2 linked regions of the Rattus norvegicus genome follow. The protein of the gene in region 1 interacts with the protein of each later gene in a biochemical or structural test. Links are inferred from orthologs where the notes say so. Each region holds a gene or a part of one and is shown on either strand. Other genes may lie near its edges.

Region 1 (4,286 bases):
CTTTCCTCCCTGAATCTTTTCCTCCTCCAGCAGCCTCCCTGCGAGGCCATCTGCTGAGAACCTGCCTGCCCTCCTGCCCAGTCCTTATAACATAAACAGCCAACAGTCCTCAACGGTGGGATCCAGATTCTTTGGCACCTCTGGGCAACTTCCACCTGGGTTTGGGGCACATGGAGGTGGGGGAGTCCTGCTCTTAGATCCCCTGTTCTCTAGGGTTTCTTTTGGAAAAGCTTAGACCCTTTCTATGTCTCCCCAGGACTGGGGAAATGGCTCAGTAGTTTGCCACAGAAGCATGAAAAGCAGAGCTCAGACTTTCAGAACCTTTATTAAAGCCTGGCAGGTATGGCAGCCTCCTGTAATCCTAGCACCTGGGAGGCAGAGATGGGGCCCAGGGTAAGCTAAACTAGTAGAATTGGGAGCTCTTGATTCAGTGAGAGACCCAACCTCAATAAATAAACAGAGAACAGTTGAACTAAAGACCACTCCTGACATCAGCTTCAAGCGTGTGCGCACGCGCAAACACACACACACACAACATACACATACATACATACCACACACATGCATACAGGCACCACACACATACCATACACACCTGTGCATCCTTTCTCACACACAAACATGCACACACGCTCATGAACACATGCACACACACTGCACACATGGCATACCCCTCAACACACACAAGCAAAGGAAAGTCCATCAAGACCCTATCCTCCTGCCTCTTAGTCTCCACATTCCCAAAGAGAACACAAACCTTGGAACCGAATCCCATGAGAGCTGGATTCTGTGGGAGGGGCAGCAGGGAAGCATTAATTCACTCTTCTAGCACCAGACACTAGAGCATCTCTGGGAGTGAACTGTCTCTTTGTCTCAAAGAAAGAAGGCACAGCCTCTTTGTCTTTTTTGGAAGACCCCCAGGGATGTGCTCATTGGACATGGGCCTCTGTGAGTCTCAGGGTTCACTTTGGTTGGTGGGCTTATGAAAGACAGCTTGGGCTCCCCCGCTCAACACCCCTGTAACAGCACCCCTGTAACAACAGCCCGGCTTCCTGGAGACCAAAACCACAAGCAGAAGGTAGAGGCGTGAGATACTCACAGGCTGGGCCTGTGTGTAGGAGAGAGAGTGTGTAGCACAGAGGGCGCTGAGAACAAGAACACAAAGGGCAGCACGGTGAGACAAGCCGTCGGTGGCACAACTGCCTCACCGAATCAGGATGGCACTTCCTACAGGCAGGCGTGGGTAGCAGTTGGAGCCGGCAACAGACATGTGGCTCTTCCTTGGGATCGCTGGATTGCTGACAGCAGTTCTCTCAGGTAGATCTCTTCTGTCACCTCTTACAGCTTGTGCTAGAGGACCCGGGTCCTGTCTGCTTGGCCTCTTGCTAGTTGTTCCCTCGTGGCCACTTTTGTAGAGTCTTTTAACTAAGACCATCCTGGTGTGACAACAGCTGGGGGCTTGAGATGACACAGGGACCCCTTAAAGGGTTGGATGATGCTCTCGTCTTTAAAAGGCCTCGTGGGAGTGAGATGAATGAGCTTTGTGCCTGACTTGGGTCCTAGGTCTGAGGAGGGAAGAACCCTACTCACCTTTGGGCTGAGGAAGCACCCTACTCCCACCCTGTCACAGGAAGGGAGGAACCACTCCTCCGAGAAGGTGGACCAGCCAGCAACAGTATTTTCCATGTTAAGCCCCAGAGTGGAGTTCACCAGGAGCAGAGACATAATTCAGGGAGACCCAGGGAACCTCTAGACCATCCTTCATAGTGACTTTGGGGTCAACCTTTTGGACTAATTTGAGACACAAATTATCGAGAAAGCTCTTGAGCTCCTGAGCTGCCTCCAAGTGCTGAAGTAGTCTTGAAGCCTGAACTGGGGTTCTGGAGCAAATGCCCAAAGTCACCAGACACTCGTGAGGTGCCATAGAGTGCTGAGGGCCAAGCTAGCAGAAACAGGCAATAGCAGAAACTCAGGGATCCCTGTACATGGTGGGCTTTCACATTTCGGGGTAGGAAGATGGTAGAGAAACAGACTTATGGTCTAATGAGTTAGGTCTGCCCTACAGAAGGGAAGCCCAGGCAGACGGACAGGGATATAAGCTCGTCAGAGGTTATGAGCACTAGGGGACTTCTAAAGGAGTGCCTTCTTTCTGTCTGGATCCTCGGGCATATCATCCAAGTCCCCTGGCATGTGTTTTGCACAGTAGAGGCCTGGGCTTTTGCTGTCCTTTTTTTTTTTTTTTTTCCGGAGCTGGGGACCAAACCCAGGGCCTTGCGCTTCCTAGGTAAGCGCTCTACCACTGAGCTAAATCCCCAGCCCCTTGCTGTCCTTTCTTGACCAGCTGTCTCCAAAGCAGCTCTCAGAGCTCAGCATTCTTCTACCCAGGCCGACTGCAAGACCTCCTGCATGTCCATCAGTGTCACTGCCCCCCCCCCACCTTTCCTAAGAGGCCCAGAGCAGGCTCAGAATTAATACCTATAAGGAAAAGACTGCTGACTGCTAAGACTGGAGTCTCAAATAAGCCAGCTCCTTCTCTTTCTGCTGCCTCCCAGTAGGGATGAGGGCTGGGGATGAGCGGAATACCGAGCCCTTTGTGCTGAAGCTGATAGGTCCTTCTGGGTCCTTCCTTGGTCTGAGATGATGGTTCCAGGGTGATGTCTATGGGAAGGCAAGAACTCAGCAGCAGGCGGGCTCCAGAGTCTACCCTTTGGTATGGTTTGCACCTGGCCCCATGCACAATATCAGTACCCTCAGCTCCTTCCTGTCCCTTTGTTGATGTCAGTTGACCTGCTTTTAGTTACTGATAGGAGTTTAGTTTTGAAAGAAAACTTGGTTATGTTGTAAGTGGAAAAGCCTTATCATTCGCCAGAAATTAAAGGGGTAAGGAAAGCATGAAAATAAATGGTGGCAAAACCAAATCGGAGGCAATTGACATGGTGCTACCAAGGCCCTGAGGCCTGCACCATTCCTCTCTCCCAGTCAGAGGGGTAATGAGGGAGGGGGTAAGGACATCCTGGTTCTGAATCGTTATTTTCTTCAGAATTTGTCGGTCACTCCGAGCAGGGAACAGGCCCCTTGTTGGTCAATACTCTCTGATCGGTGACTGATGGTCTATGTCCCATGGAGGGATGTCTCGAAAGGGCAAGTTTTGGAGGCGTGAGAAAACTGCACCCTAAAGTGACACTATGTCTCTCTCCCTCATGGTGATGGCTAGGAGACTGAGTCTCTGGGCCCAGGGACTGAATGTTCCTTCCTTCCTGCCTGATTTGGCAGACTCTACTGGCTGGGCCCAGGTCTTTGGAACTGCATATGGGATGGCAGATCTGTGTTGGACCACATGTGCTTGAGGAAAGGATGTTGAGAAAAGAGAAAGAAAAGGTAGAAAAAGTAACAAGCAATAAGGAGAAATGGAGCAGGAAAGTGAAGCCCAGGAGAGAGTTCTGGAGCTTTCTGTCTGGGAATGGTGTCCAAACTTGCTTGGTTCTATTCTGGGAGTCAGGGGCTGGCGAATGCCAGGGGTTAGTGGATGCCAGCTCTCCTGGGAGCCACAGAACTCTCCTCTGCTTAGGGCTGGTACCTGGCTCTCTACTCTGAGTCCCACACAGCTCACCTCTGGCAAGGCCTGTGTGTTACTGGGTGACCAGGACATCGGGAGACAGATTCACTGGGCCCCGTTCGGGCCTCAGTGTCCTGATCATCCAATGTGGGAAAGAGACTGAGTTGTGAACTAGAAGCCCTAACTGCAGGGAGGATGGGAACTTCAGTTTCCACCCAGTGTTTCTAATTCGCCAATTGATTGAGCTCTCATCCTTCCCTGGTCCTCATTTTCCCAGTTACTGGGTGAAGTCTTTTGTGTCCTGAAAAGGCAGTTTGTAATTATTTTAAAATCACGTACTTCCGGCTGGAGACGCTGCTCTGAGGCTGAGCACTTGTCTAGCGTGTGCGAGAGGCCAGCCTGACACCCAGCACCCGTACATAGAGAGATTGTTTAATTTTTAAAAACGAATCTGTTTTCCTTAATAGCAAATATAACCTTTGCTTTTCTTTATAAACTTGATAATTTCAAGGGGTCTTTGAGACAACCAGGTGGGAGAGAACAATTTTTAAAAATAATAAATGCCCCTTACTAATTAATTCTAGCTAATTAATTCCCTCAGCTCTATGCTGTCCAAAATGGCAGCATAGAAGTAACTGTGAAATGTGTCCGTGCAAAGCACAAAACAAGCTCTGAAAATGAGTTAAGATAAATTATATATATATATGTATATATATATCCATATAGTGTG
Region 2 (3,820 bases), on another chromosome or scaffold:
TTTATTTTTCCTTCTTTTATTGAAAACTATGTTCATGCAATATGTTCTAACTACAGTTCTACAGTTTCCCTACTCCCATGTCCACTGAAATCATACCCTTTCTTTCTCTCATTTGAAAACAAACAAGCATTAAAAAGAAATAAAGTAAGATTAAAAACAAACTGGAATATGGGAAAGAAAAGGCACAAGAAACACATAAATACATACATTCTCACCTCAAAGGTCCCATAGAAATACAAAATTGGAAACCATAATATATATGTGAAAAGTCTGTTAAGTAAAAAACAAAAGAACCTCAAAAAATGGGATACAAATCTAAACAGGAAATTCTTGAGAGATCAGACAGAAATAGCTGAGAAGCACTTAAGGAAATGTTCCTAGTAAGGAAATACAAATCAAAACTGTTGCATTGTTTCTTACATTTGAGTGTATCACATCCAGAAACAGCCCGATTTGTACCTCAGAAAAACCAAAGCACTTAAGCCATCATTGAAAGATCCACCTTTTTTATTGACAAAGAAAAAGTCTAAGAGAAACAAATAGTTTTATTTATCAAAAAACAAATCCTATATATATTGCACTTGGATGTAACATCTTATGATTAAGAGATATGAGATAAGAGAATAGATGCCCTCTGTAAAGAATTGATATAAGAGGATAGATGTCTACCCTCCCTCAAAAAAAAAAAAAAAAAAAAACCACTGACCTCATTCACAAACACATTCGAAGGGAACAAGATTAATAATATGCTTAGGAACAAGTATCATGAAAAATTTAACTGACACTGAGCATCTATGGAAGTGGGGGGAGGGAGGCTGATTGCTGTGTTAAAATTCCCCAAAGAATCATAGACAGAGAGATGCTATCATTGCTTTATTAATCTCATTTCTGCCCACTATAAAGCTGTAGATGACCTGGACGGTCCTTATCTATGGATTCCACACTCCCTTAAAAACAGACCGTAGGACATCGCACTGGCCCATGGCATCTGCCACTATTCTTTCCCAGACTCAAAGTGCATCTCCATCTCTAAACTCTTCTCCTTTCTTCTTCCAGACAGAGGAGTCTCCTTATATTAATGGCAGGTATTATAGTAAAATTATCATTTCCCCTGAGGAGAATGTTACATTAACTTGCACAGCAGAAAACCAACTGGAGAGAACAGTAAACTCCCTGAATGTCTCTGCGAGTGAGTATTTCATTTCTGGCATTAAAACCGTAAGAAAATTTGAAGTTATTCTTCATTAGCTTAACATCTTCAGCTCCATCTCCCTGTACTGCATCATGGTAAGTTTCACGCTTTTGTTTGGCATTTTTGGTATCATCGCCATGAGGTTCTGTTTTCTTTTTTCCTGGTTTCCATTTTTCTACTACCCTTGTCTTCACAGTTTAAGTCACTTCATATATTAGGACTCAGACACTTTTCCCAGGATAGGATGAGAAAATAAGAAACCAGTTGCCCGTACTTAATCCACACTAAGGAACCAGAGTCAGAGAATTCCATGATTATTTTAAAATAATCTTGTAAAAGGTATACAATCAATAAATTTTTAGTTTCCCCATTAGTTTGCATTACAGTTTGTTATATCTTTATCCTACCCCTATTGTATACAGAAATGCCACAAATTAGGCCAATTAACAAATTGGTAGCAAAAATGTTACAAGAATTAATACAAATCAGGTTGTAAAGTTTCCCTTCTCTCATTGATTTTGAATCATAATGAAAATAGGTGAAATCATCTTAGAGAAAATTGAAGTATCTGTCAATATTGAAATCCTAGCTTATATATTTTTCAGAGAGAGAGAAAACATTTTGAAAACCATGATTTATTGGAAAATTAGATACCATTTTCAGGCCCGTTACTATTCCCATTGCTATGTTACCATGGCAACGTTAAACCAGGACTGACCTAGAGTAAGGTTCACTTTTACACAGGATGTTAGCTGACCTGCTGCCAAATGTTTATTTCTTGACCAGTTGGAATCCTTACATTGGTATGTTTCGAATGTAATAGCTAGGAATTTATAGGACAAAACATTTTCAAAAGATAATGGTCCCTCACATTCCTACTGGAATATAAAGGCCCAGTGGATGAGCTGGAGAGAAGAACTAAACAAAATTAACTTTAAAATACAATCATTGACTTCTCACAATGCAATTCACTGGGTATTGATTTGCACTACCTAGAGAGAACCCAGCCTTATTCTTTTGTTTTAACGGAACTTTTTTTTTAAACACTAACCTGTTAAATGAGATAGTTCAGCTTTCTCAATATGTAAAGCAGTCATCTTCAAACTTTGTCCTATCTGAGCACTTAAGATGAGGAATGTAGGAGTGAATTGTAATCTAACACCACGGAGAATTCTGATGCATTTCTAGGCACGCTAAAGAATATTTATGTAATTTAACTATAATCCAGGAGTGCACTGAATTTTAATGAAACCTAAAACCACAGCACAATCAGCAACCTGGAAGTCTGGCAAATATCATATAGGGGATGATGTAATCCCCAAAGTACCCTACATATAACCTCAACCCCAACTCCTGATTTGAGGACGTCATTACTAGCCCTTTACACCAACAAATGGAAATGAATTCTCCTAAATAGGGGCAGAGAAAGTCGAGCACAGATGAGAAACACAGTATTATAGATTTAACAGGGGCCTCTTGTTCCTCCCAAAAAGGAATTCTAGTGAAAGACACAGACAGTAGGGAATTAATATAGATTTTAGATAAATACTGCAGCTTATTGGTTATAAATTTTCTCTAGCACATTAAAATATGTGTATTCTTAACTCTTGTCCTTAAGATTAATTCCTCTGTACGAACATTGTAGGGAAATTTTTGCTCTATGAAGTGTGATTTTTCTTTACCCTTAGCTCTAGAATAGCTGTTTTATCTAAGTATTATTACATCATACTATAATGGTAAAGGTGTCTTTCATTTATCAACAGATTTTGTTTTTAATTTCATATTAACATTTTTCATTTCAGTAAGTATTCCAGAACACGATGAGGCAGACGATATAAGTGGTAGGTACTATGCCACAGACTCTCCTTCCTTGACTATCAGCTCAAGACTTACGAAGTGTCCTTGTCTGAGTGACTTTCTTAGCTGTCCAAAAATTTGACTTGAATTTCAATACCAAATGAGACAAGATAGTCAAAATTCTAAAAAATAAACTTTACCCTTCAAAAAAATCACAAGTTTGCATGTAAACCACAGTAGTGATCCTTAGCTGTCATTAACAATCTGTCAACACAACACCAACTTCCTTTTAAACTCCGTAGCACTGGCTATAGCTACACGGACTTTTCTTCTTTGTCGTAGATGAAAACAGAGAAAAGGTGAATGACCAGGCCAAACTAATTGTGGGCATTGTGGTTGGTCTCCTCCTCGCCGCCCTCGTCGCCGGTGTCGTCTACTGGCTGTACATGAAGAAATCGAAGTAAGTTGTACAGAAAGGTTCTTGCTCTTCACAGCCTCTGACCTGAACCAAACCAGCATGCGGAGTGTGCTTGCCCCTGCTGTGGGCAATTTCTAGACTAATATGGACACATCACCAAATGGAGCACACCACATTTTCTTTTACTTCATAGAGAGTGCAGGACCAACCATCAAGGATGTGGCCTGGACTGTGCTCATGTCTCCTTAGCATTGTTAAGTCAACGTTCTGAGACCAGTTATTTTTGTTGTTGTTGTTTTCTACCTAGGTAATTTTTTTAAAGCACATATGACCTAAATGTAAAACATTTTAAAGTTTTTGTTTGAAGTTCATAAAGATTAGTTCAAAGAAGGTCCATAGTCCGGGGCCTGTGA

Evidence for each region.
Region 2: the proteins of Cd6 (region 1) and Alcam form a complex in vitro, tested with the Homo sapiens proteins (4 studies listed by BioGRID and IntAct). The link is inferred for Rattus norvegicus from reciprocal best matches to the Homo sapiens genes CD6 and ALCAM.

What each region holds. Positions count from the first base shown.
Region 1 is NC_086019.1:216,903,429-216,907,714, reverse strand, and holds the start of Cd6 (T-cell differentiation antigen CD6 precursor), read left to right. Parts: upstream 1-1,190; 5' UTR 1,191-1,268; coding exon 1,269-1,317; intron 1,318-4,286.
Region 2 is NC_086029.1:61,986,765-61,990,584, forward strand, and holds part of Alcam (CD166 antigen precursor), read left to right. Parts: intron 1-1,056; coding exon 1,057-1,189; coding exon of another isoform or gene 1,190-1,248; exon of another isoform or gene 1,249-1,287; intron 1,288-2,994; coding exon 2,995-3,033; exon of another isoform or gene 3,034-3,036; intron 3,037-3,331; coding exon 3,332-3,449; intron 3,450-3,820. UniProt on the Homo sapiens protein: Cell adhesion molecule that mediates both heterotypic cell-cell contacts via its interaction with CD6, as well as homotypic cell-cell contacts. Promotes T-cell activation and proliferation via its interactions with CD6.